4 linked regions of the Arabidopsis thaliana genome follow. The protein of the gene in region 3 interacts with the protein of the main gene of each other region in a pairwise test. Each region holds a gene or a part of one and is shown on either strand. Other genes may lie near its edges. The genes, in order: KAT3, KAT1, VAMP727 and BRI1.

What was found.
Region 1: the proteins of VAMP727 (region 3) and KAT3 interact in a two-hybrid assay, tested with the Arabidopsis thaliana proteins (one study listed by BioGRID).
Region 2: the proteins of VAMP727 (region 3) and KAT1 interact in a two-hybrid assay, tested with the Arabidopsis thaliana proteins (one study listed by BioGRID).
Region 4: the proteins of VAMP727 (region 3) and BRI1 interact in a protein complementation assay, tested with the Arabidopsis thaliana proteins (one study listed by BioGRID).

What each region holds. Positions count from the first base shown.
Region 1 is NC_003075.7:15,750,732-15,756,926, reverse strand, and holds KAT3 (potassium channel protein), read left to right. Parts: upstream 1-1,879; 5' UTR 1,880-2,129; coding exon 2,130-2,389; intron 2,390-2,615; coding exon 2,616-2,831; intron 2,832-2,924; coding exon 2,925-3,086; intron 3,087-3,194; coding exon 3,195-3,252; intron 3,253-3,354; coding exon 3,355-3,672; intron 3,673-3,764; coding exon 3,765-4,004; intron 4,005-4,089; coding exon 4,090-4,188; intron 4,189-4,332; coding exon 4,333-4,365; intron 4,366-4,462; coding exon 4,463-4,651; intron 4,652-4,739; coding exon 4,740-4,823; intron 4,824-4,914; coding exon 4,915-4,993; intron 4,994-5,090; coding exon 5,091-5,237; intron 5,238-5,341; coding exon 5,342-5,445; 3' UTR 5,446-5,656; downstream 5,657-6,195. Other genes in the region: AME3 (Protein kinase superfamily protein), read right to left, coding at 164-284, 442-531. UniProt on the Arabidopsis thaliana protein: Probable modulatory (alpha) subunit of inward-rectifying potassium channels. Could mediate potassium uptake from the soil solution by plant roots in association with AKT1.
Region 2 is NC_003076.8:18,742,999-18,749,156, reverse strand, and holds KAT1 (1), read left to right. Parts: upstream 1-1,750; 5' UTR 1,751-2,595; coding exon 2,596-2,774; intron 2,775-2,929; coding exon 2,930-3,145; intron 3,146-3,229; coding exon 3,230-3,385; intron 3,386-3,480; coding exon 3,481-3,538; intron 3,539-3,692; coding exon 3,693-4,010; intron 4,011-4,166; coding exon 4,167-4,406; intron 4,407-4,488; coding exon 4,489-4,587; intron 4,588-4,662; coding exon 4,663-4,881; intron 4,882-4,956; coding exon 4,957-5,505; 3' UTR 5,506-5,647; downstream 5,648-6,158. Other genes in the region: AT5G46230 (hypothetical protein (Protein of unknown function, DUF538)), read left to right, coding at 6,133-6,158. UniProt on the Arabidopsis thaliana protein: Highly selective inward-rectifying potassium channel. This voltage-gated channel could mediate long-term potassium influx into guard cells leading to stomatal opening.
Region 3 is NC_003074.8:20,107,699-20,112,896, reverse strand, and holds VAMP727 (vesicle-associated membrane protein 727), read left to right. Parts: upstream 1-2,013; 5' UTR 2,014-2,331; exon of another isoform or gene 2,332-2,536; intron 2,537-2,716; 5' UTR 2,717-2,769; coding exon 2,770-2,959; intron 2,960-3,059; coding exon 3,060-3,258; intron 3,259-3,344; coding exon 3,345-3,465; intron 3,466-4,329; coding exon 4,330-4,542; 3' UTR 4,543-4,690; downstream 4,691-5,198. Other genes in the region: AT3G54310 (DNA-directed RNA polymerase subunit alpha), read left to right, coding at 1-352, 681-841, 932-979, 1,092-1,199, 1,309-1,581, 1,658-1,744. UniProt on the Arabidopsis thaliana protein: Involved in the targeting and/or fusion of transport vesicles to their target membrane.
Region 4 is NC_003075.7:18,322,685-18,329,371, forward strand, and holds BRI1 (Leucine-rich receptor-like protein kinase family protein), read left to right. Parts: upstream 1-1,772; 5' UTR 1,773-2,141; coding exon 2,142-5,732; 3' UTR 5,733-6,147; downstream 6,148-6,687. Other genes in the region: PLS (polari), read right to left, coding at 6,505-6,615. UniProt on the Arabidopsis thaliana protein: Receptor with a dual specificity kinase activity acting on both serine/threonine- and tyrosine-containing substrates.

The sequences.
Region 1 (6,195 bases), on a different chromosome or scaffold from region 3:
TCTCATCCCAATGAAACGAAAGCGAAAAAAGATTATCCCTAAGGCAATGGTGCCAAACAAAACAAAGAGTTACTAGCAACAATACACATATAGAAGCAACATAGGTAAATATCTTAGCTCACATAGAATAGAAAGTTAGCAACTTTATCCATCAAAAACTCACATCTAGGAGTGAGATTGTCCCTCAAACTGAAAACATAATGACCATCACGATCATCGTCCCTTAATGGTGGTGACAAAATCCTCCCATCGCTTCCATGTCCTTTAATCACAGCCCTTTTAGCCTATCACAAAAAAGTCAAAATTCATTCATTGTCAGCATATCAAAATCTCACCAAAGAAACATAAATGCTCGGTCTTTCCTCCACATTCTAAACCCTAATTCGAAGTTCTAAATGTCAAAGATTAATTAAAAAAAGAAGAAGAAGAAAGAGGAGCAACCTCTGGTTCAGCTGGGGCCTCGTCCCAGGTCATACGAGGACGTTTCCTGACTCGTTCTTTATCCATACTCTCGAATCCGTTAGCTATCATCACCGACGCGGAAAATCGATCACCGACACATCCAGAACGGAATCTGATGCCAATCTGCAGCTAAAAGAGGGAAAATTTCTACCAGAAACTCTTTACGTAGATGTAATCACAAGGCGGCGAATCGGGGAGAAGGTGATAATCTCCGAAAATGGTGAAAACAGAGGAATTGCTAGGGTTTGGAACTAGAGAGAGTGCAAGAGAAAGACAACTCCCAATAATTTTACCGGCCAAATCCCTTGGGGTCGAACCGCGACGACATCCACCAATTGCATTTTTTTTGCACTTTCCACCGAAAAAATTGGGTCTACACGATCACCCGGAATGTTTCGCCCACCCGGCCCAAATGAAATGTGGTGAGATCTTCTTATAATCTTGGCCCAAATTTCCATCATGGATCTTAAACGTTCGTTTCATTGTTTCTTGGATTTTTTTTCATTAACTGGTCCATCTCAAAATGGGCTTCCATAAAAATGGGCTTTTTTACAAAAGGGTTTTGTTTCATTAATTGATTTTCGTGTTTTTTTATCCGTAACAATTATGCTTTCGTTTCCTAATTTATACGAGCAAACGTAAAAATGTATAGTATTTGACTATTTGGTTTTACGTATCAACAATCAACAACATACTGTACATCAGTACATACACAATTTTTTTTTAACATACACAAACTTACTTTATGTACAAATGAACTATTAAGAAATGGCTTTAGCCTTGTTATTGCATGCATCTTCTTAATTTGTGTATGTGAAATTCTTCATAGGAGCTAATTAAGGGACGAAGACAAAGTGTATCCCCCTTCATGTATTACCTAAACGTATCTTAGAATTTCAAAACATTGTTTTCCTTAGAATTTTTTAAAAAAATTGTAAACATGCACATCCAACACTGGAAAGTGGAAAGAAGTATATATATATGATATGTTATCTCAAAAAAACTGAAATGATTGTATTAAAAACATACTAAATTCTGACTGATGATAGATATTGATACGTAATTCATTTGTTTATTATTGTTCGTTTTGTTTTCAACACTACTATTCCTGTCACGGTCTCATTTAATAACAACAACAAAAAAGACGTCAAGATTTGACTTTTGAGTTCCTCAATTTTTTCAACTCCAGTATTTAAACAGCTAATTATTACATAATTTATCGTAAGAAAAAAAAAAAAAAAAACCTTATCCCCCTGATATTGTAGATCTCGATTGTAATCACTACACCTGATGCCACATTAAATACACACAGAGACGTAAATAAGAGTCAAAAAAGTCGATGAAGCCTTCTGCATATATAACAACAAAGTTGAATATATAAAGAGTAAAATTCATCATACTACAATCTTGAAAAATTATAATTTATTAGATGGTTAAGTAAATTTGTTTTATAGTATTGTTATATTCTTTTTTTCCAAAAAATATAGGGAAAACAAAAACCAGTAAAAAAAAAAGTCAACTTAATTTGCTCACCACCTTCTTGATCATCTAAACACCTCTTTAATAATTCAAAACTAAAAAAAAAAGGTATAAATGAAAGAGACAAAAGAGGGAAGTATATATCATCAAGCTTGAAGAAGAGAGAGAAGAAGAAGAAGGAAAAAAGAATGTCTACGACGACTACTGAGGCGAGATCACCGTTGCCGTTGTTGTTGAGAAGAGGAAGGTCTTCGACGGCGTTATCGGCGTCGACGGCGGAAGCAAGATCGCCGTTATCGATACTGCAGTTCAGAAGAAGATCGAGCAAAGATGTGAGGAACATAACGTCAGTTTCGAGCAGTCTCTTGCCTGCTTTTGGGACTTTCATCGAAGATGATAATCCTTCTTCCAAACCTTTCATCGTTCTTCACTTTGATCGTCGTTACAGGTTCATTTCTCACTAACTAAACAACGAAGAAATGTTTTTTGGTTATCAAACAATAAATAGTGATTTACAGATTTCATAACTTTTCTGTTTCTATTAGTCCATAAATTAATGATCAAATGATTCGTTCATTAATTTTCATATTTTTACGTCTTAAAATTGTTATTTCTTATTAATATTCATATATCTTAATTTTTTTTTAATCTTTCCATATAAAAATTAATGGTAGGTTGTGGGAATTGTTTTTGGTGATATTGGTTGGGTATTCGGCGTGGGCATCTTTGTTCGAGTTGGCTTTCGAGAAAGCTGCCGAAGGAGCGTTATTGACCATTGATCTCGTCGTTGACTTCTTCTTCGCCGTTGATATCATCCTCACCTTTTTTGTTTCCTACTTGGATAATACTACTTACCTCAATGTCACCGACCACAAGCTCATCGCCAAACGGTAACAAATCAATTTGTTTTTATATGTTAAAAAAATAACATAAGTAAAATGAATAAGTTAGAATTGAATTATATATGTTGTGCATTATTATAGGTACTTGAAGAGCGTGGCTTTTGTGATGGACGTAGCATCAACGTTACCCATTCAATTCATTTATAAAACTATTACCGGAGATGTCGGACGAGGCCAAGCTTTCGGCTTCCTTAATTTACTCCGCCTCTGGCGTCTCCGTCGTGTAGCCGAACTCTTTAAAAGGTTTTTTCTTTACTACTTTCTATATAATATGCAATATTGAAATCCACTTATCATATAGTACATATGTGTGTGTCTATTTTACACTTCCTTTCTTTCTTTTTTTAACAGACTAGAGAAAGACGCACATTTCAACTATTTCGTGATCCGAGTCATCAAACTTCTATGTGTAAGTTTTACTTATATTGAATTATCTATATGTGGTCCATACAATCACTAAATTGGCTATGTCAATCTATGACTTTTATTCAAATTGTGAAATTTGATTCAGGTAACGATATTTTGGATACATTTGGCGGGTTGCATTTTATACTGGATAGCCTACCATTATCCAAGGCCTACGGATACATGGATAGGATCGCAAGTTGAGGATTTTAAGGAAAGAAGTGTATGGTTAGGGTACACTTACTCAATGTACTGGTCCATTGTCACACTCACTACCGTGGGTTACGGTGATTTGCATGCAGTTAATAGCCGTGAGAAGACATTCAACATGTTCTACATGCTTTTCAACATTGGCCTCACTTCTTATATCATCGGTATCATGACCAATCTAGTTGTCCATGGCGCTCTTCGTACATTCGCCATGGTATATAATCATTCATTGCTTAAACCCGAAAAGATTGTTTACTCATTCATTTACTCTACCAGTCGTACAATAATCATTCTTCTGCTGAACAGAGGAGTGCGATCAATGATATATTGCGATACACAAGCAAGAACAGGTTACCGGATACAATGAGGGAACAGATGCTTGCACATATGCAGCTCAAGTTCAAGACCGCGGAGTTAAGGCAAGAAGAGGTTCTTCAAGACTTACCTAAGGCCATAAGATCAAGCATTAACCAACATCTATTCCGCTCCATCATCGAAGAAGCTTATCTTTTTAAAGGATTCCCCGAAGGCCTCCTCGTCCAGCTGGTGATCGTCCATCAACAATTCCATTTTCTTTTGTTCCTTGTTAAACAAGGCAGTGGTAATTCATTCTTCTATGTTGTTGTTGTAGGTTTCGCAAATACAAGCAGAATATTTTCCGCCGAAAATGGAGATAATCTTGCAGAATGAGATTCCAACGGATTTCTACGTAATTGTATCTGGAGGAGTGGTATGATATATCTATATATCCTCTACATACTCATTCATTTATCCCGAAAAGATTGTTTACTCATTCATTTATCCCGAAAAGATTGTTTACTCATTCTTATTTATATTTGACTTCAACTGATTAAAAGAAAATTTGCAATTTTAGGATATAATTGCTTCCAAGGGTGTGAGTGAACAGGTAAAACTCTGAACAAATTTCAGTTATAAGAAAAACACATTTCATAAACTTAAAAGATTGAGATAGAGTATGAAGAGTTGGTTGATAAATGGTGAAGGTATTAGCGAAGTTAGGTCCCGGAAGTATGGCAGGAGAGATAGGAGTAGTGTTCAACATTCCTCAGCCTTTCACAGTGAGGACACGTCGACTTTCACAAGTTATCAGAATTGGTCATCATAAGTTCAAAGAAATGGTGCAGTCTGATAATGACGTCGACGCCAAAATGATCATTGCCAATTTCATGACAGTAAGTTTACATTCACAAAACGGTAGTAACATCAATATAGTGTTTATATTGTAACACTAATAATTAATGTTTCTTTCTTTAATTTCAGTATCTTAAGGGATTGAATGATGAGTTAAAAAAAGAAATTCCTTTTCTTAGAGATTTATTAGATGACGCAGATGCTCAGGTTCAGGTATATATACCTTCTTATAACAAATAATGCATAGTCCTCTCGTCAAAATTGTCAAGTGAGTTTGAGATGAAAACGCATTTTTTGGTGACAGGAAACAGTTCAGTCAGAGGAAACACCACAAAGTAACGATGAGGAAATAGTTACGGTCTCAAGACATGAAAATGGACAGAGTAAGAAGACATTTTTTTTTGTTGAAGACAGAGTAAAATGAACATGTTTTTTTGTATGTATAGAGACCCTTTTTTTAACAATGACATTTGATTGCAGTAGAAGAGAGAAGAAGAGAGGGAGTTCCAAAAAGAGTGATAATTCATGGACAAGCTCCTCCTAATCAAGATAACAAAAACAATGGTGATTCCAACGGTAGACTTATCATTTTACCTGACTCTATCCAACTTCTATTCGACTTAGCTGGTCAGTTTCACTCTTATGATGTCACTTCTCTTTACTTATACATTGAAAGTTTTTTAAAATTTAATATACTTTATATTGAACTCATAAAACTATGGTGGATGCAGAGAAGAAGTTGGGGAAACGAGGAAGCACGATTGCAATGGCAGATGGTGCACATGTTGAACAAATTGATGCTCTTCGAGAAAACGATCATTTATATATTTTCTAATTCGTTTATAAATATATATATTCACAATTATCACTTCCCACACAAATAATGATACAAAAAAAACTATATTTTTGTTAGCGTAAGGTGCTTATGAAAAGATGCAAAGTCAGATATATGAAAATATAAGGTGAAGATCGAATTCCCAATTCCACTATTATGAACTTGCTTCTTATCTTTTTGACATCTTGAACTTAAAATTATGTTTGATTGAAGATTGCATTAGCATACAACAAAAGTACCATTGTTGCATACATTTTAGCATTTTCTCTTATTACTGAAACAATTCTCTTTAAAACATTTGCATCAACGGCTACTTATAAAGTAACTAAAAACCATAAAAGCAGTGAACACTGGAGAAGATTGACCTATCAATAATGGTGATGATCATTCTCAAATAGGGGGTCTCCTGTTCGATATTCGTCATTGGATGGCAAAACTATCCAACGTCACTCTTCTCCACGTCAATCGTGAACGAAATAGTGCTGCAGATAAGATGGCTCAATATGTTTTGTCTACTACTACTCTGTATCAGTCTTTTATTGTTCCTCCTCGTTTCTTACTCTCTTATTTGTATCAACCTTATACAATCTAATAAAGTTGTAGTAGTAGTTGTTAAAAAAAAAAGAAAATAACAATTATTTCATATTTTACACTGCATTGTACATCAAAGACTTTTATTTGTATATTCGGTAACAACCAACAAAAAAAAAAGTATTTGAAAGGAAATTCTTAGTTCGAAACTCAAATAAC
Region 2 (6,158 bases), on a different chromosome or scaffold from region 3:
CCAATGTAGTTTGAAGAAGGTATAAAACAGGTTTAGACCAACCGATTCCAAGACTTATGATGGCCCACAACAACAAAAATAACTAACAAATTTTTAGACCCTACACTACTCTTAGCATGCATGTGACAGCTTAAACTTAAATTTAAACAGTTAACATGAACAACCCCACTTGCACTAGGAAGACAGCAAATAGCAAACTTAAAGCAGTTTACGATTTCTGGTCTTTTAAGGCAAGGTTTAGTAACCCAGTAATTCCTTTTGATTTGAAATATATGAATAACCGAAATTAAAAAACAAAAAAAAAATCACAAAATACTAAAATTTGAAAGCCGAAATAATTCATTTTTCAATAGTTATAATCATCTTTTAAAAAGTAAGTTAGATCATAAAACCTAATATAAAACTTTTATTGGCAAAACTAATTAATCACGAGAAAATAATATTAAAGTTAGCTCATGTTATGTTTATATTAGGAATCTCTCATTTACTTTATTTTGTTTTGTTTTGTTTCTATAATGATATTAGGATTCAGGAAGACAATAAACAAAATATCAACAAGGAATCATGAAAGATACATTCGAACGGGCTCAGATCGACGCAGAAACAAAAAGCTTTGGAATGATTTAATAATACAAATTTGGCGGAAAGGTTTGAAGAATTTATACTTGGCATTCTATACTAGCGAACGAAAACAAAAGTTTAGTCAAATATTTAGGATTACCAAAAAATCAATATTCGTATACAAATGTGTTTTATTATAAACCATGATTTTTCATAACTTTATTCTTAGTTGTTTCAATTTGTTTTCTCTCATTTCTCGTTCCTATTGTAGAAAAAATTCCTGATTCTTTTTTCTTTTCTTTTGTTTTCCCATGTCAATTATAACCGCATTAGAAAAGGTTAGCACATGTTCATTTGCACAGAATGTAGTCAATGTACAATTCATCTATAATTTATCACCTTTTTGTTAAAAATATTTATAGCCATGTTATATATATTTTATCATGTTGTGTTTTAAACTCTAGATTTGTTCTTTCACAGTTTATGGGATTTATCATTTCATATATTTCCTCCTATGAGTAAGATGTCATTTTTAAATTCTTAATTAAGAATTTAGAAATCAAGTTTATTATTTTGTTAAAATTTATAAATTACGTATTTTTCCTTTATTAGTGAGATTAAGATATAAAGAGTCTAGCACACTAGAGAAATGAAAACATACATATATCTAGAAAGGGTTTATAAGAAATTAGTAAATGGAATCAGAACATGAAGGAGAAGGGAGGGGCCACCATACCGACGGGAATGAGAAGTATGGGACGGACAAGAAATCAAGTGTACACACATGAAAAAACCCACCACGTGAAGATCTCCTATTGGTGTGTCTTCTCCTAAGTACTAAGTATAAACCAAAGTCAAAACACAACAAAGACATATTGCTTGCGAGCCAGCGAGTGTGTCCGAGTGAGAAGAGAGTTTGGGACTTCACTGTTTAGAGAGCCTCATTCGCTACCTAGATTCGGTTTATCCACGTGGAGAGTTCACGTAGCTTCTATAATAATAATACATTATATAAGCTGTTTCGGTAAAATAATCTTAGAGTTTCACTTCCCATGCAAAAAGATTAAATGGACTACTATATTTTCTATATGAGTGTTTTGGAAATAATCTTCCAAGTTTATGGCTATTTAGTAAAACTCAATCCAAAATGAGAACAATAACTTTTTTTTTTTTTTTTTTGCAATGAGTACAATAAACTTATGATTGGTTTTGGGGACTAGAAAATAAAATAGAGACATATACTTTAAGAATAGTTGATGAGAAAATAAAACTTTTTTCGAAGAAAGAAAAAAAAATATACTCTGGCCCCTTACATATTCTGTCAAATGCCATTTTATTTTCTTTATTTTGCTTGGTCCATTTCTGGATTCCTGAAATGAACACACCATAATTTTCATGCCCATTTTTGTCCTCCCATTAACACTTACCAAACACCAAACGTACCTTCCTTCCTTTATATGTGTCTCTATGTCTATATATCACTCCCACCTTCAAATGCTAGGAAAGTGGACATCACACCATAGTCTGATAGTCATGAATCTCATCAAGTAGAAACCTCCAAAGAAACAGATTGCGTTTCCTCTTCTTCTTCCTCCTCTTTCGAATCTTATATTTTCGTGTCAAAAAAGAAACAAAATATGATGATATCTACCGCAAAAGCTCAATGTTTGCCACTTAAATTCTGTCTCATCTCTCAAGATTTTTGATCATCTCACACTTACTCCGTTCCGCATTTTACGCCTTTTCTTCACCATTGTTGCTTCTCGAATCGAAACCATATTGGTTTTGCAGCATTAATGGTGCACTGAGTCTTCTTAAAGCCGTTAACCTTTCCCTGCCAAATTCTCAACCAAAAAGAAAAAAAGATAACAAATGGGTCACAACAAGTTGCCATAAAGGTCCCAACAGAAGAAGAAAAGAGAAGTTTCCCCGTGTTGCTTTGTCACAAGCTTCATCACTATTTATAACTACCTTGCCAAGAAGAAAGCCTAAAAAGGTATAACAGTTTCTTTGTCTTTAGAGATCATCAAAAAGATGTCGATCTCTTGGACTCGAAATTTCTTCGAAAGATTCTGCGTCGAGGAATACAATATAGACACCATAAAACAGAGTAGTTTCCTCTCTGCCGATCTTCTACCATCTCTTGGAGCCAGGATCAACCAATCTACTAAGCTCCGCAAACACATAATCTCTCCTTTTAATCCACGTTACAGGTAATTTTCTCATCTACTAAACTCTGTTTTAAGTACTCTGTTTTCAACTATGTTTTCAACTATTCAGGTTATAAGTAGTTTTAACTACTCTGTTTTTACTCACGTTATAAGTATATTTAAAGACTCTGTTTTCAATCCTCTGTTTGTTGAAACAGAGCGTGGGAGATGTGGCTAGTATTACTAGTTATTTACTCAGCTTGGATTTGCCCATTTCAATTTGCTTTCATCACCTATAAAAAAGACGCGATTTTCATCATCGACAACATTGTTAATGGCTTCTTCGCCATTGATATTATTCTCACCTTCTTCGTCGCTTATCTCGATAGCCACTCCTATCTTCTAGTTGACAGTCCTAAGAAAATAGCAATAAGGTGAGAAACCTTTTTTCTTAACTTGAAACCTTTTATAAGTGAATGAGAATCTCAAAGTATGTTTTGAAATTGTAACATTTTCAGGTACCTTTCGACGTGGTTCGCTTTCGATGTTTGTTCCACAGCACCATTTCAGCCACTAAGCCTCTTGTTTAACTACAACGGAAGCGAACTAGGATTCAGAATTCTTAGCATGCTCAGGTTATGGCGTCTCCGGCGAGTTAGCTCGCTATTTGCAAGGTTTGCTTCTATGCTAACTAAGAGACCATACTCTTCTTAGGGTTTAACTAAGAAAGTGCTTACTCAAGTCTAACTAACTCTTACCTTTGCTTCAGGCTTGAGAAAGATATCCGTTTCAACTATTTCTGGATACGTTGCACAAAACTCATTTCGGTTAGTTCCAAAACAGAGCAAAACTAATCTCACTTATAATAAAGCATTTTAAGCTTAGGGCTGTCCATTTAGGTGATCTATTCTTAGGGTTTATTTGTCTTTTAAATGGACACCATATTAAAGCTAGTGACTTACACGTGCTTGTTGATCTCAGGTCACTTTGTTCGCTATACATTGTGCTGGATGTTTCAACTACCTGATTGCAGATAGATATCCTAATCCAAGAAAGACATGGATTGGAGCTGTGTATCCAAATTTCAAAGAAGCAAGTCTATGGAATAGATATGTGACTGCTCTTTACTGGTCCATTACGACATTAACGACCACGGGATATGGAGATTTTCATGCTGAGAACCCAAGAGAAATGCTTTTTGACATTTTCTTCATGATGTTCAACCTCGGTTTGACAGCTTACCTCATTGGAAATATGACCAACCTCGTCGTTCATTGGACTAGCCGAACCAGAACCTTTGTAAGTTTGATCACTTTCTTTTAGTCTAGGCATGTTCATTTCGGATAAAGGTTCGGGTAATAGCGTGGGGTTTACGTACTTTTGAGTATTTTAAGTTGACTAAAATAATATTGAGTATTACTAATCTGTAATGCTTTATTGCTTTGTGTTAAACAGAGGGATTCAGTGAGAGCTGCTTCAGAGTTTGCTTCAAGAAATCAACTCCCACATGACATACAAGATCAAATGTTATCACACATTTGCTTAAAGTTCAAAACAGAGGGCTTGAAACAACAAGAGACCTTGAACAATCTGCCAAAAGCAATCCGGTCAAGCATTGCAAACTATTTATTCTTCCCCATTGTTCACAACATTTACCTCTTTCAAGGAGTTTCTCGTAACTTCCTCTTTCAATTGGTAAAATTGTATTCTCTAACCTTTTTTCTTAACGTTTAATATGTAAGAGGTGACCAACTCCATGTACCTTTTCATGTTCAAGGTTTCAGATATAGACGCTGAGTATTTCCCACCAAAAGAAGATATAATTCTACAAAACGAAGCTCCTACTGATCTTTACATTCTGGTGTCAGGAGCAGTGGTGAGTGAAATATATCGGTTATATGTAAATATGTGAATAACAGTTAGGAATCTTGTAACATTGTGTATTGTACAGGACTTCACTGTCTACGTTGATGGACATGATCAGTTTCAAGGGAAAGCAGTAATTGGAGAAACATTTGGAGAGGTTGGAGTTTTATACTATAGACCACAACCATTCACAGTAAGAACAACCGAGCTATCTCAAATACTGCGGATAAGCAGAACATCGCTGATGAGTGCGATGCATGCTCATGCTGACGATGGACGAGTCATCATGAACAATCTCTTCATGGTATGTGAGTTATTATAGAAATGTTTCTATAGTTAAAACAAACTCTAAACTCATTTTTGGCTATAAAACTTTCAGAAACTTAGAGGGCAACAGTCAATAGCAATAGATGATTCGAATACTAGTGGTCACGAAAACAGAGATTTCAAAAGCATGGGATGGGAAGAGTGGAGAGATTCAAGAAAAGATGGCTATGGTTTAGATGTTACGAATCCGACTTCCGACACTGCTCTAATGGATGCGATTCACAAGGAAGATACTGAAATGGTTAAGAAGATACTTAAGGAACAAAAGATAGAGAGAGCCAAAGTGGAAAGATCAAGTAGTGAAACCGCTGGAAGAAGTTACGCTAACGATTCATCGAAAAAAGATCCATATTGCAGCTCAAGCAACCAAATCATCAAGCCATGCAAACGAGAAGAAAAGAGAGTTACCATCCACATGATGTCTGAGAGCAAGAACGGGAAGTTGATACTCTTACCATCATCCATAGAAGAGCTTCTAAGACTTGCAAGTGAGAAGTTTGGAGGCTGCAACTTCACAAAGATCACCAATGCGGACAACGCTGAGATTGATGATTTAGATGTCATTTGGGATGGTGATCATTTGTATTTTTCATCAAATTGAGTTTGAAAACTCGACTTCATTTATAGAGCATGTATATCTGCAGATAATGTATTTTTACCCGGTTTCATAGAAAAGTCTAGATTATCAAAAGCAGAGTATACAAAACTGACATTAATTGACACAAAAACACAATCTTATTTCACAGCTTGACTATGATACATTGATACCGTTCTGTTTGAACACAAAACATTATTCTACACGAGTCTTCTGCTTTGAACTTGTTTCACATGATAAATCAAGAAAATTTTATTTTTCTCTATTATCAATAAAGATTTTAAGAAATTTACCTATTAAAAAGACGAAATTTTTTTTTCAGAAAATTAAGCGTATATTCAGTTTGATTTATTTTAAATTTAAACACTTCAACATGTTTGTAATAAAAAAAAATCAAAATAAGAAATTCTCGAATGTATTTTATATTCAATCAACGAATAAAATAAATTATTCCACGAACATGAACTGCATGCGTCCCACCTCATTTTATACGAAATTTCCATGTTACCCTCTCTAATACTATTCTCCTTCCTCTTCCACAGACCCAATTTCGTCATTCAATTCCAAAACTCACACCTCTATATAAATCCAGCAAAAAGTCCCCAAAAAGTCACCACCACAAATCTCATCGAAATGTCGTCTCAAGAAACGAAATCAGA
Region 3 (5,198 bases):
GCATCCTCTGTTCCACCTTCTCTTCTTAAAAAACACAATAAAAACGTCGGGAGTACTAATACAAAGATAATCTACGCAAACGGTTACATTTCTAGATGGTTTCTCGTTGGTTCGGATCCAGAGGATAGCAACTTTCAACTTGTGCCCGGTTCTTCAGAGTGGAGGAAAGACGCAGAAGAAAAATCTTTGGTAATCTTAGCGAAGAGTGATTTGGGAAAACTGGAAAATCCATGGTTATGGGTGACAGAGAAAGTGGAGGATGACATTATAATGGGATTTGATAGGGCAAAGAAGACGTTGCTAGGTTATGGTGGATCAGAGGATGTCAAACTCAGACTGATCGCTCGGTTTGGTAATGTTGTTTTCCATGAGTAAGGTTTTTGACTTCTCCTCAAATTTTCAGTTTTTAGGGACACACACAAACTCTGTTTTACCTGGGGCAGGGTTAGTGATTAGCCTAGTGTTGGTTTAAGAGCATTGTAATTACCGTAGGTGGTTTGTAGTGGATTGAAACTGTGTTGACAACTTGGACACTATAGTTGAGTCGGTTATCTACTATCTAGACAACTTAGAAACTATAGTTGGATTGCGCATTTCTCGCTAATCAAGTCTTTTTTATGTTGAATAAACAAGTTTACCGATTGTTATCTTATCAAATTGATGCAGTGTTAGTTCATCAGGAACTCTAAGAGATGGTCCGTTAACTAAAAGCACTTTGGAGAAATTGAAGAAAATGTTTCGTACAAATGTCCCAAAGTCTTATGTCGAAAATGTTGGGTATAGAGCTGTACACAAAATGGGATTTTGTGTTGAAGAAACCAAAGAGTTGTATCACGTGAAGGTGGTTTTGTTATTTCTTATGTTAGAGATTCATGATTGTGTCTGTAATTTCATTTTAATTCTTTTGTGGTTTTGGTTTCTGATTTTCTAGGTCTCAGACAACACTCGTCCTGATGTAACCATTTCATGTAAATGTATGGTGGACCAACAAAATAAACGACTCAATTTCTATAAGATAAGTCCTTTTCATCTCCCCTACTTACCACATTTTAAGTGAATCATATTGAAGCTTTTGTTTGGTTTTTATTCAGGCTGAGCTTAATGCTTTGAGGCACTTAAATCTTGACGTCTCATGCCTTGATCAAGATCTTGACATGAGGTTGATGGTTGACTCAAAAAGGACATTAACCAATCTCTCTGTGAGTTGACTTTGTCTAATCCATATTTAGTATCCAAGAGAATGAGTTGAAGAATATTAGCAAGTGGTGTAGATTAAAATGTGAAACATGGTTCTTCGATTGTATCCAGGAGAATGAGATTACGAATCTTAAAGAATTGACTGATTCAGCGGTGGTAGATCCAACTGTGAAAGGTGGGTTAAAGTGGCCACTTGGGAAATCTTCTTGTGCGGATCGATACATTGTTTGTGGTGTTTGGCATACTGTAACTACTACGTACATAAACCAGACTATGAGGCTTCAAATCCGAGAGGCTGATCGATATGATTTCAGAACTGGAGTTGGAGGAACCTCAAGTGAAGTGAATTTCAAACTAAAAGCATTAAGTACTATACTACTAAAGGTATTTTTTGTTTAGACATGGTCTTTTAATTGTAGTGATAGTCAACAAGTGACAATAGTTATGTTTACAATTTCAGGAGGAAGATGTGGAGAGGAAATGTGTTTCAGACATGCTGAAAGATTGTCTGAAAGCGGTTTGGGAATACTTTTTGAAAGAAGTTTAGTGTTAGTCACTTTGTTTCTGGTGTGTTTCCAGTTTGTGTCACTTACTCCAAACTTTGCTGCTTTTTTCATATTTTGGCTCATCTAATTTTGTTGCAATATTCACATTATCTTTTATCTTTTGGATTGGAAAAAGTATTTGATTATCGTTTAGATAATCAACTTTGTTTGCGTGTACGTTTTCATCAGTTTTCAGGTGTGATCTGTAAATTTAACAAATTCAGAATTTATGACTGATGATTAATTTACCCATCACAAAGGAACCATACCGAACACAGTTACGGTCATTTCAATTCTAACCCGAAAAAATAATAAAGAACCGGTAATATCCAAATCAAAGTATCAAACCAAGGCGAAATAGAATGGGTTTCCGATTTCAATAGCTAACTTTCATAAACCGAGAACCGAAACCGGAAACAATCAAACCAAACCATTTGGTGATTAAAGAATTAATCAGCATTAAGTTATGTCATATCATCTCCTGCTAAAAGCCTAAAAAGCTAAAACTAGTCGTGACTCGTCGTCGTCTGATATTACCAGATTCCTGAGAATTTGAGCCTAATCCTTCATCACCAAGCTAAGTCTCAAGGTACTCATTCCTCTCTCGCTTTTGTTTCTTCTGCTACTGCTACTGCTATGCGTCGTTTGATTCCTCCTTCAATTTCGTCTTCTCCGATCATATCTCTATACTTTTCTTCCGGAAGTAAATAGCACCGATCTTTTAATTGCGTCGATTTTCAACCTAATCGGAGCATAAGAACACGTTTTCCGATTTATAATTGTTGCGCTTCGGTGTAATTCTTCTCAATTATAAATCGCGATTCTATACGATTAGTGATTTTATCTCCCGATTTTGCGATTTACTGTTATCCTCCTCTTGGTGTTTTAGGGTTTTATCTGATTTCTACAGTGATCTATAGTTTTCCATATATATATTTCTGGATTATGATTCCATATTTGGTTTTGCATTCCAGATCTGATTGTGGTTGTGGTTGACTTCTTCTTCAAAGGTTTCACGAGTACAATAATGAGTCAAAAGGGTTTGATATATAGCTTTGTTGCTAAAGGAACAGTTGTTCTAGCAGAGCATACTCCTTATTCAGGAAACTTTAGCACCATTGCTGTTCAATGTCTGCAGAAGCTACCCACAAATAGCAGCAAGTATACTTACTCTTGCGATGGTCATACTTTCAATTTCCTTGTTGACAATGGCTTTGGTGAGTTTTCTTTCTTAGCCTTTTTCTACTTGTTGATAAGTTGAAAGCTTTTTTAATTTACTTCGGATTTGGTGATGCTTTGTGATTGTTGCGTGTATAGTGTTTCTAGTGGTTGCTGATGAGTCCACCGGAAGAAGTGTTCCTTTCGTGTTTCTCGAACGGGTCAAGGAAGACTTTAAGAAGCGGTATGAAGCGAGTATAAAGAATGATGAGCGACATCCTCTTGCGGATGAGGACGAAGATGATGATTTGTTTGGAGATCGGTTTAGCGTTGCATACAATCTTGACAGGGAGTTCGGGTCTGTCTATAGCTGTAACTATCTGATATCACTTCATTGTTTCGCATTGCAACTGTGTTCTGATTCTTTTCTTTCCCCTCTAATAGGCCCATACTAAAGGAGCATATGCAGTATTGTATGAGCCATCCAGAAGAGATGAGCAAACTTTCTAAGTTGAAGGCCCAAATAACTGAGGTCAAGGGGATCATGATGGACAACATTGAGAAGGTATGCTTTTGTCGTTATAAGAAAAGATGAACTAGCTTAGACATTTTAATTAACAGTAGCACGCAGATCTTGTACTTTTTTGGTTTAAGGTGACAACATTTTTATCCACATGATTTTGCAATTACAAAAAAGTACTGTAGGAAAGATGCTGAACAACAAATACTTTCTAGAAGAGATATTTGACACCAAATAAATAGGTTTACTTCCATGGTAGTTTTACTGGATAAATGTATCAATTGCTTTTCTCACAACCATTCTTTCATTAACCTATATCTGGTATAATTATATTGTTTGTGAATTACTGTGTTTTCTTTCCAGACCTTTGTCAACTTTTAAAACTGTGACAGAATGGACTTTAGTATCTAAGTCTGATAGAAACTAAGAAGTTGCACGCAGCTTGAATTAGATTTCCAGACCCCTGTTCTGCCTTTTAACCGGCTTGATTTCATACACGCCTCTGTTAAAATTTAGTACTGAGGAAGTCTAAATGGGATAATTATAGCATGAACTCCCTGCTTCTCATCATAGGAAGGAGTTGGTTGTGCTATAGTGCTGTTCCAAGTCACGATATATCATCTGTCGCTTTTGCTCTGTGGACTATGTTTCTATTTGCCTTAAGTTTGAGGTCAATAATGTTATAAAAAGTAACTGCAAGTAATTTTCAACAAAATCTAGTTTTTTGGTGCTGTAAAAGGTTAGGCAACCAGAGTAACTTCAGAATTTGTCGCACTATCATCTCCAATAGAAGATGGGGTTTGTCCCATTTTCACTGAACTAGCTTATGCCAATAGATGTTGATTATGAGAATGAAACGGAGAGGATTTGCAGCCTTTTTGATGATTATCTTTGATGTTATTTTAACAGGTTCTGGACAGAGGAGAGAAGATCGAACTTCTGGTTGACAAAACCGAGAACCTACAGTTCCAGGCAGATAGCTTCCAGAGACAAGGAAGGCAGTTAAGAAGGAAGATGTGGCTACAGAGTCTGCAGATGAAGCTGATGGTGGCTGGTGCTGTTTTCTCTTTTATTCTCATCGTTTGGGTTGTTGCTTGTGGAGGTTTCAAATGCTCATCATGATGTTTCGCTTCGTTTGTATCTGTTTTAACACTTAAATTGCATGCTCATGTTTGTACATGGAAGAACTTATAATAACATATCATCATATCATCATCATCTCCCACATGCTGTGATGCTATATATATAAAAAAAATGTTTTTGTTCTCAAGTTGCCGTGTCTGTTCTATTCTATGCGATCAGCAATTTTCTTTATGGTGATCTCCAAGATACATGTGTGTAGTGTATGCGGTTATGTCATTTAGGCTTCGACTGATATTAAGAAAAAAGAACAAGAAAATTGTAGGTACTGTATAAAGTTTTTACAGAGAAAAAAAGAAGAAGCAAACAATGATGACCCAAAAGCGAAATAGAATGTTACGGCTTTTAAACTCTGTGGCTGATGAAGCAAAGAGCAAAAGGTGAAGCGTAAAGGTGAGGTTAAGTAGGGCAAATCACATGGGAGGAACAAAAAAGGTAACAAAGTAATGTCTGCTAGTTGTTTTTTTACACCGTTTCTCGTTTGATAAAGCGGATATGAAATAATTTCATAAAGGGATATTTCGTACCTTTTCAATTATCCCCACATCAACTTCTCTGTCTATTGTCTACAGATATAAAGGGAGATATGAATAAGCATATATGGTTGGCTTCGTTTTTACTATGACTGAGGATGGTGA
Region 4 (6,687 bases), on a different chromosome or scaffold from region 3:
GATAGATAGACACACTCTCTCTCTCCACCAATCGCACTCACCTCCATGAGCGCGTGTAGACCACGTCGCAATGGTGGCTCGATGTAGAAACAACGCCGTTTTGTGTTCACGTATGTCTGACGCGCGAGCAGAGAGCGTGGGTGATTTGTCACACGAGCGCTTATAAATGAGAGTGTGGGGAGGACAGTTTCGTCCCTTTTTTGGAAGTTAGAATCATTACACTATTTTGGCGTTTTGCTTGATTATGATGACATTATAGAATAAAATGTTCTATTATACGAAATTAATACATCACTAAACATACTTTTCATTCAGTTTGTATTTAAAAAGTTACTTGTACCAATATAGTATTCTATCAGGTTGTTTGTTTTTCTGTTCAATTGTACTTATACAAACCTTCCAAAAAAAGTGTTACACTTGCGATAGATAGTTACACAAATGTCATTCTCTATGATCTTCCTTCTTTATTTGAAAATGGTATCGCAGTATTATTCGCTGAAAGTTGAACCTTCAAACCAGTTACCATTGCAGACGACATTTTCTCTACAAAAGTTAAAGTGATAGTAACATATCTCGAATTTAATTGAAAAGTTTACTACTCAAGTAGTCAAGTTCCTGTTACCCAAAACTATGTGTATAAAGTGAATTTTTTGTTAATTATGTAACTATGTATACACCGGGTACAGCTGCACGTAGGGTTTGTACATAATTACGAAATATCTCTATAAAACTGCGACAGAAGGAAAAAATAATAGAATAAGGCTTTAAGAGAAGTTTGGTCTATCCGTCTATGTAAGTGCCAGAGAAAAAGAAAGCAGTTTAAAAGTGAAAGGAGGGATTAATTAGTGGGAAAAGGTTTATCGAAAACTAATAATAATACTTCTCTGATTATTAAAAAGAGATGGAATCTGCCATTAATTGACACTCATGTCCCAATCGTCTCTCACACGTACGTTCGTTTTTTTTTTTGTTTCTCTTTTGCAAAAAGCTATAGAGACAATCTCTCCTCCACTTTATTTTTAGTTTTTCTTTCAGATACAAGTGAGAGTGAACAAGAGAAGAGTGTTAATGTGAAATGTTTGTGGTTGGTGTGAAATTCATGTAAAAATATGTATGTATTACCTTAACATTAAAGTAAATTTGAACTCTTTCAAACTATCACATTGAATGCTCCAAATCTTGTTGTATATGAGTATCAATATAAAAGAAATTTAGATGCTTATACTATGTTCCATTTTTACTGAACACTACTTAACCATTAGTCCATAAATGTGGAATTAGTTAGTTGCTGGCATCTTTATATCAGAATCAAAAGTTTTGCATATTGGGTGACAGTGAGTGCATACACCAATAATTCACCGATCAAGATCCAACCAAGTAAGAAGAAAAATATAACATGAATTATCTTGATTTTTTTTTTAATAAAAATAAAAATCAATGAATATATATGCTTATTATAAAAAAAAACCCAGCACTAAACAGAAGATCAGATTAGACTTGTGTTTTAAAAATATTGAGAAGAGAATCAAGAGATAGGTGGTTGGGGGTAAAATGTATACAAATGTTACAATAAAGTCTTAAGAAGAGTTTAAAAAGGGTAAGTAGGATATGTAGCTTGCAGAAGACTTGATCCCATCCCCTAATCTCACGTTAATTAAACACCTCTCTCATGTACAGACAAAATACCTCATTTCTTTAACTTAAACTTAACAAAAGCTACTATGAGATTAAGGATTTTGTGATGCCATTATTTTATTTATTTTTAGTATCCTCTTGCATTAATTAACTTTTTTTTTATAACCACATACAATAATTAAAAGTAGTATTATTTGTTTGTATCTGTTATCGAAATTGAAATTAATATATATAATTTTTATAATAATCAGAAGAAGAGGTAACATGGCATGTGAGTGCACAGCTGTGACCACTCTTCCCTTCACCATTTGATAAATACCTTCTTCCATCTTCCTTCTTCTGTCTTTTGACTCTCTTCTCTCTCTCCTCTCTTTCTGCTTTCCTCAATCTCTCTCTTTCTATCTCTAGAGCTTCCACTTCCTCTCTAATGGTGGAACCAAAACCCTAGATTCCCCCTTTCATCTTCTCTACTTCCCACACTTTTCTCTCTCACAAACTCTTGAGAAATGAAGACTTTTTCAAGCTTCTTTCTCTCTGTAACAACTCTCTTCTTCTTCTCCTTCTTTTCTCTTTCATTTCAAGCTTCACCATCTCAGTCTTTATACAGAGAAATCCATCAGCTTATAAGCTTCAAAGACGTTCTTCCTGACAAGAATCTTCTCCCAGACTGGTCTTCCAACAAAAACCCGTGTACTTTCGATGGCGTTACTTGCAGAGACGACAAAGTTACTTCGATTGATCTCAGCTCCAAGCCTCTCAACGTCGGATTCAGTGCCGTGTCCTCGTCTCTCCTGTCTCTCACCGGATTAGAGTCTCTGTTTCTCTCAAACTCACACATCAATGGCTCCGTTTCTGGCTTCAAGTGCTCTGCTTCTTTAACCAGCTTGGATCTATCTAGAAACTCTCTTTCGGGTCCTGTAACGACTCTAACAAGCCTTGGTTCTTGCTCCGGTCTGAAGTTTCTTAACGTCTCTTCCAATACACTTGATTTTCCCGGGAAAGTTTCAGGTGGGTTGAAGCTAAACAGCTTGGAAGTTCTGGATCTTTCTGCGAATTCAATCTCCGGTGCTAACGTCGTTGGTTGGGTTCTCTCCGATGGGTGTGGAGAGTTGAAACATTTAGCGATTAGCGGAAACAAAATCAGTGGAGACGTCGATGTTTCTCGCTGCGTGAATCTCGAGTTTCTCGATGTTTCCTCCAACAATTTCTCCACTGGGATTCCTTTCCTCGGAGATTGCTCTGCTCTGCAACATCTTGACATCTCCGGGAACAAATTATCCGGCGATTTCTCCCGTGCTATCTCTACTTGCACAGAGCTCAAGTTGTTGAACATCTCTAGTAACCAATTCGTCGGACCAATCCCTCCGCTACCGCTTAAAAGTCTCCAATACCTCTCTCTGGCCGAGAACAAATTCACCGGCGAGATCCCTGACTTTCTCTCCGGCGCGTGTGATACACTCACTGGTCTCGATCTCTCTGGAAATCATTTCTACGGTGCGGTTCCTCCATTCTTCGGTTCATGTTCTCTTCTCGAATCACTCGCGTTGTCGAGTAACAACTTCTCTGGCGAGTTACCGATGGATACGTTGTTGAAGATGAGAGGACTCAAAGTACTTGATCTGTCTTTCAACGAGTTTTCCGGCGAATTACCGGAATCTCTGACGAATCTATCCGCTTCGTTGCTAACGTTAGATCTCAGCTCCAACAATTTCTCCGGTCCGATTCTCCCAAATCTCTGCCAGAACCCTAAAAACACTCTGCAGGAGCTTTACCTTCAGAACAATGGCTTCACCGGGAAGATTCCACCGACTTTAAGCAACTGTTCTGAGCTGGTTTCGCTTCACTTGAGCTTCAATTACCTCTCCGGGACAATCCCTTCGAGCTTAGGCTCTCTATCGAAGCTTCGAGATCTGAAACTATGGCTGAATATGTTAGAAGGAGAGATCCCTCAGGAGCTCATGTATGTCAAGACCTTAGAGACTCTGATCCTCGACTTCAACGATTTAACCGGTGAAATCCCTTCCGGTTTAAGTAACTGTACCAATCTTAACTGGATTTCTCTGTCGAATAACCGGTTAACCGGTGAGATTCCGAAATGGATTGGCCGGTTAGAGAATCTCGCTATCCTCAAGCTAAGCAACAATTCATTCTCCGGGAACATTCCGGCTGAGCTCGGCGACTGCAGAAGCTTAATCTGGCTTGATCTCAACACCAATCTCTTCAATGGAACGATTCCGGCGGCGATGTTTAAACAATCCGGGAAAATCGCTGCCAATTTCATCGCCGGTAAGAGGTACGTTTATATCAAAAACGATGGGATGAAGAAAGAGTGTCATGGAGCTGGTAATTTACTTGAGTTTCAAGGAATCAGATCCGAACAATTAAACCGGCTTTCAACGAGGAACCCTTGTAATATCACTAGCAGAGTCTATGGAGGTCACACTTCGCCGACGTTTGATAACAATGGTTCGATGATGTTTCTGGACATGTCTTACAACATGTTGTCTGGATACATACCGAAGGAGATTGGTTCGATGCCTTATCTGTTTATTCTCAATTTGGGTCATAACGATATCTCTGGTTCGATTCCTGATGAGGTAGGTGATCTAAGAGGTTTAAACATTCTTGATCTTTCAAGCAATAAGCTCGATGGGAGGATTCCTCAGGCTATGTCAGCTCTTACTATGCTTACGGAAATCGATTTGTCGAATAATAATTTGTCTGGTCCGATTCCTGAGATGGGTCAGTTTGAGACTTTTCCACCGGCTAAGTTCTTGAACAATCCTGGTCTCTGTGGTTATCCTCTTCCGCGGTGTGATCCTTCAAATGCAGACGGTTATGCTCATCATCAGAGATCTCATGGAAGGAGACCAGCGTCCCTTGCTGGTAGTGTGGCGATGGGATTGTTGTTCTCTTTTGTGTGTATATTTGGGCTGATCCTTGTTGGTAGAGAGATGAGGAAGAGACGGAGAAAGAAAGAGGCGGAGTTGGAGATGTATGCGGAAGGACATGGAAACTCTGGCGATAGAACTGCTAACAACACCAATTGGAAGCTGACTGGTGTGAAAGAAGCCTTGAGTATCAATCTTGCTGCTTTCGAGAAGCCATTGCGGAAGCTCACGTTTGCGGATCTTCTTCAGGCTACCAATGGTTTCCATAATGATAGTCTGATTGGTTCTGGTGGGTTTGGAGATGTTTACAAAGCGATTTTGAAAGATGGAAGCGCGGTGGCTATCAAGAAACTGATTCATGTTAGCGGTCAAGGTGATAGAGAGTTCATGGCGGAGATGGAAACCATTGGGAAGATCAAACATCGAAATCTTGTGCCTCTTCTTGGTTATTGCAAAGTTGGAGACGAGCGGCTTCTTGTGTATGAGTTTATGAAGTATGGAAGTTTAGAAGATGTTTTGCACGACCCCAAGAAAGCTGGGGTGAAACTAAACTGGTCCACACGGCGGAAGATTGCGATAGGATCAGCTAGAGGGCTTGCTTTCCTTCACCACAACTGCAGTCCGCATATCATCCACAGAGACATGAAATCCAGTAATGTGTTGCTTGATGAGAATTTGGAAGCTCGGGTTTCAGATTTTGGCATGGCGAGGCTGATGAGTGCGATGGATACGCATTTAAGCGTCAGTACATTAGCTGGTACACCGGGTTACGTTCCTCCAGAGTATTACCAAAGTTTCAGGTGTTCAACAAAAGGAGACGTTTATAGTTACGGTGTGGTCTTACTCGAGCTACTCACGGGTAAACGGCCAACGGATTCACCGGATTTTGGAGATAACAACCTTGTTGGATGGGTGAAACAGCACGCAAAACTGCGGATTAGCGATGTGTTTGACCCCGAGCTTATGAAGGAAGATCCAGCATTAGAGATCGAACTTTTACAACATTTAAAAGTTGCGGTTGCGTGTTTGGATGATCGGGCTTGGAGACGACCGACAATGGTACAAGTCATGGCCATGTTTAAGGAGATACAAGCCGGGTCAGGGATAGATTCACAGTCAACGATCAGATCAATAGAGGATGGAGGGTTCAGTACAATAGAGATGGTTGATATGAGTATAAAAGAAGTTCCTGAAGGAAAATTATGAGAGTTAGAAACAGAGCCAAAGCAGATTCTTTGAACATCAAAATCATCTAAGGGTCAGTCCGATTTTCCTTGGGTCTATTTTTTTTGTATTTTCTACTATATGCTAAGTGTATGTATCTATGTTATTTATACATAAGACGGATGTTTTTTTTTTCGGGCTCGGTCGAATTGGGGGTGGTGGAGAATAGAACTAAGTAATAACTTTGTTAAGAATATGTAAATATACAGTTTTTTGGGGAGGGATTTGTAATGTTTTCGTTTTTAGTTCTATGGAAATTTCTACGTTGCTAACAAATTAAATTTATAATGAATCATGAAGAAACAAAGAGCCAATGTGTATTAAATTTCGACTGATCATGTTCATGTAAATGCACGTGACCTATTAATTCATTATTGTCGGAATTAATTTGGGGAATTCACACTGCACGGGAATGGGAAAGTGAGAATAGATGAGACTTAAATTTGTTTTTATGGATGTTATATTTACATGACCAATGTGGTCCCTTTTGAACTATGCTGAGTTAAACGTTTTTTTTTTTGCTATATACTTATTACTGATGAAATTGAACCGTTGGACTATATTTATATCCATCTACGTTATTTTTTCCATTACTATTGATTTTGTTATTGGCCCAAGTAGAATCAAAAGAATGGTTTTTTGATGTCATAATTTGCAATATAGAAATGGGAGGGATATGTATTGCATAATAAGATAAAGATAAACCTTTATCGAGACATAAGATTGTATGTAGATATTGAAAATGATAGGGTGATCAATGGATTTTAAAAAGTTTAAACAATTTTGCTACTAATAAATAAGAGATTGATATATAACATGGAGAAATGGACCTTCGCCTGAAATTAAAACAAAGTCTGGGTTTCATTCATGTTTCAGTGAGACACTGCGCCAACATCACCACAACAAGTCTTACACAAGGAACGTGTGCCTCACGTGC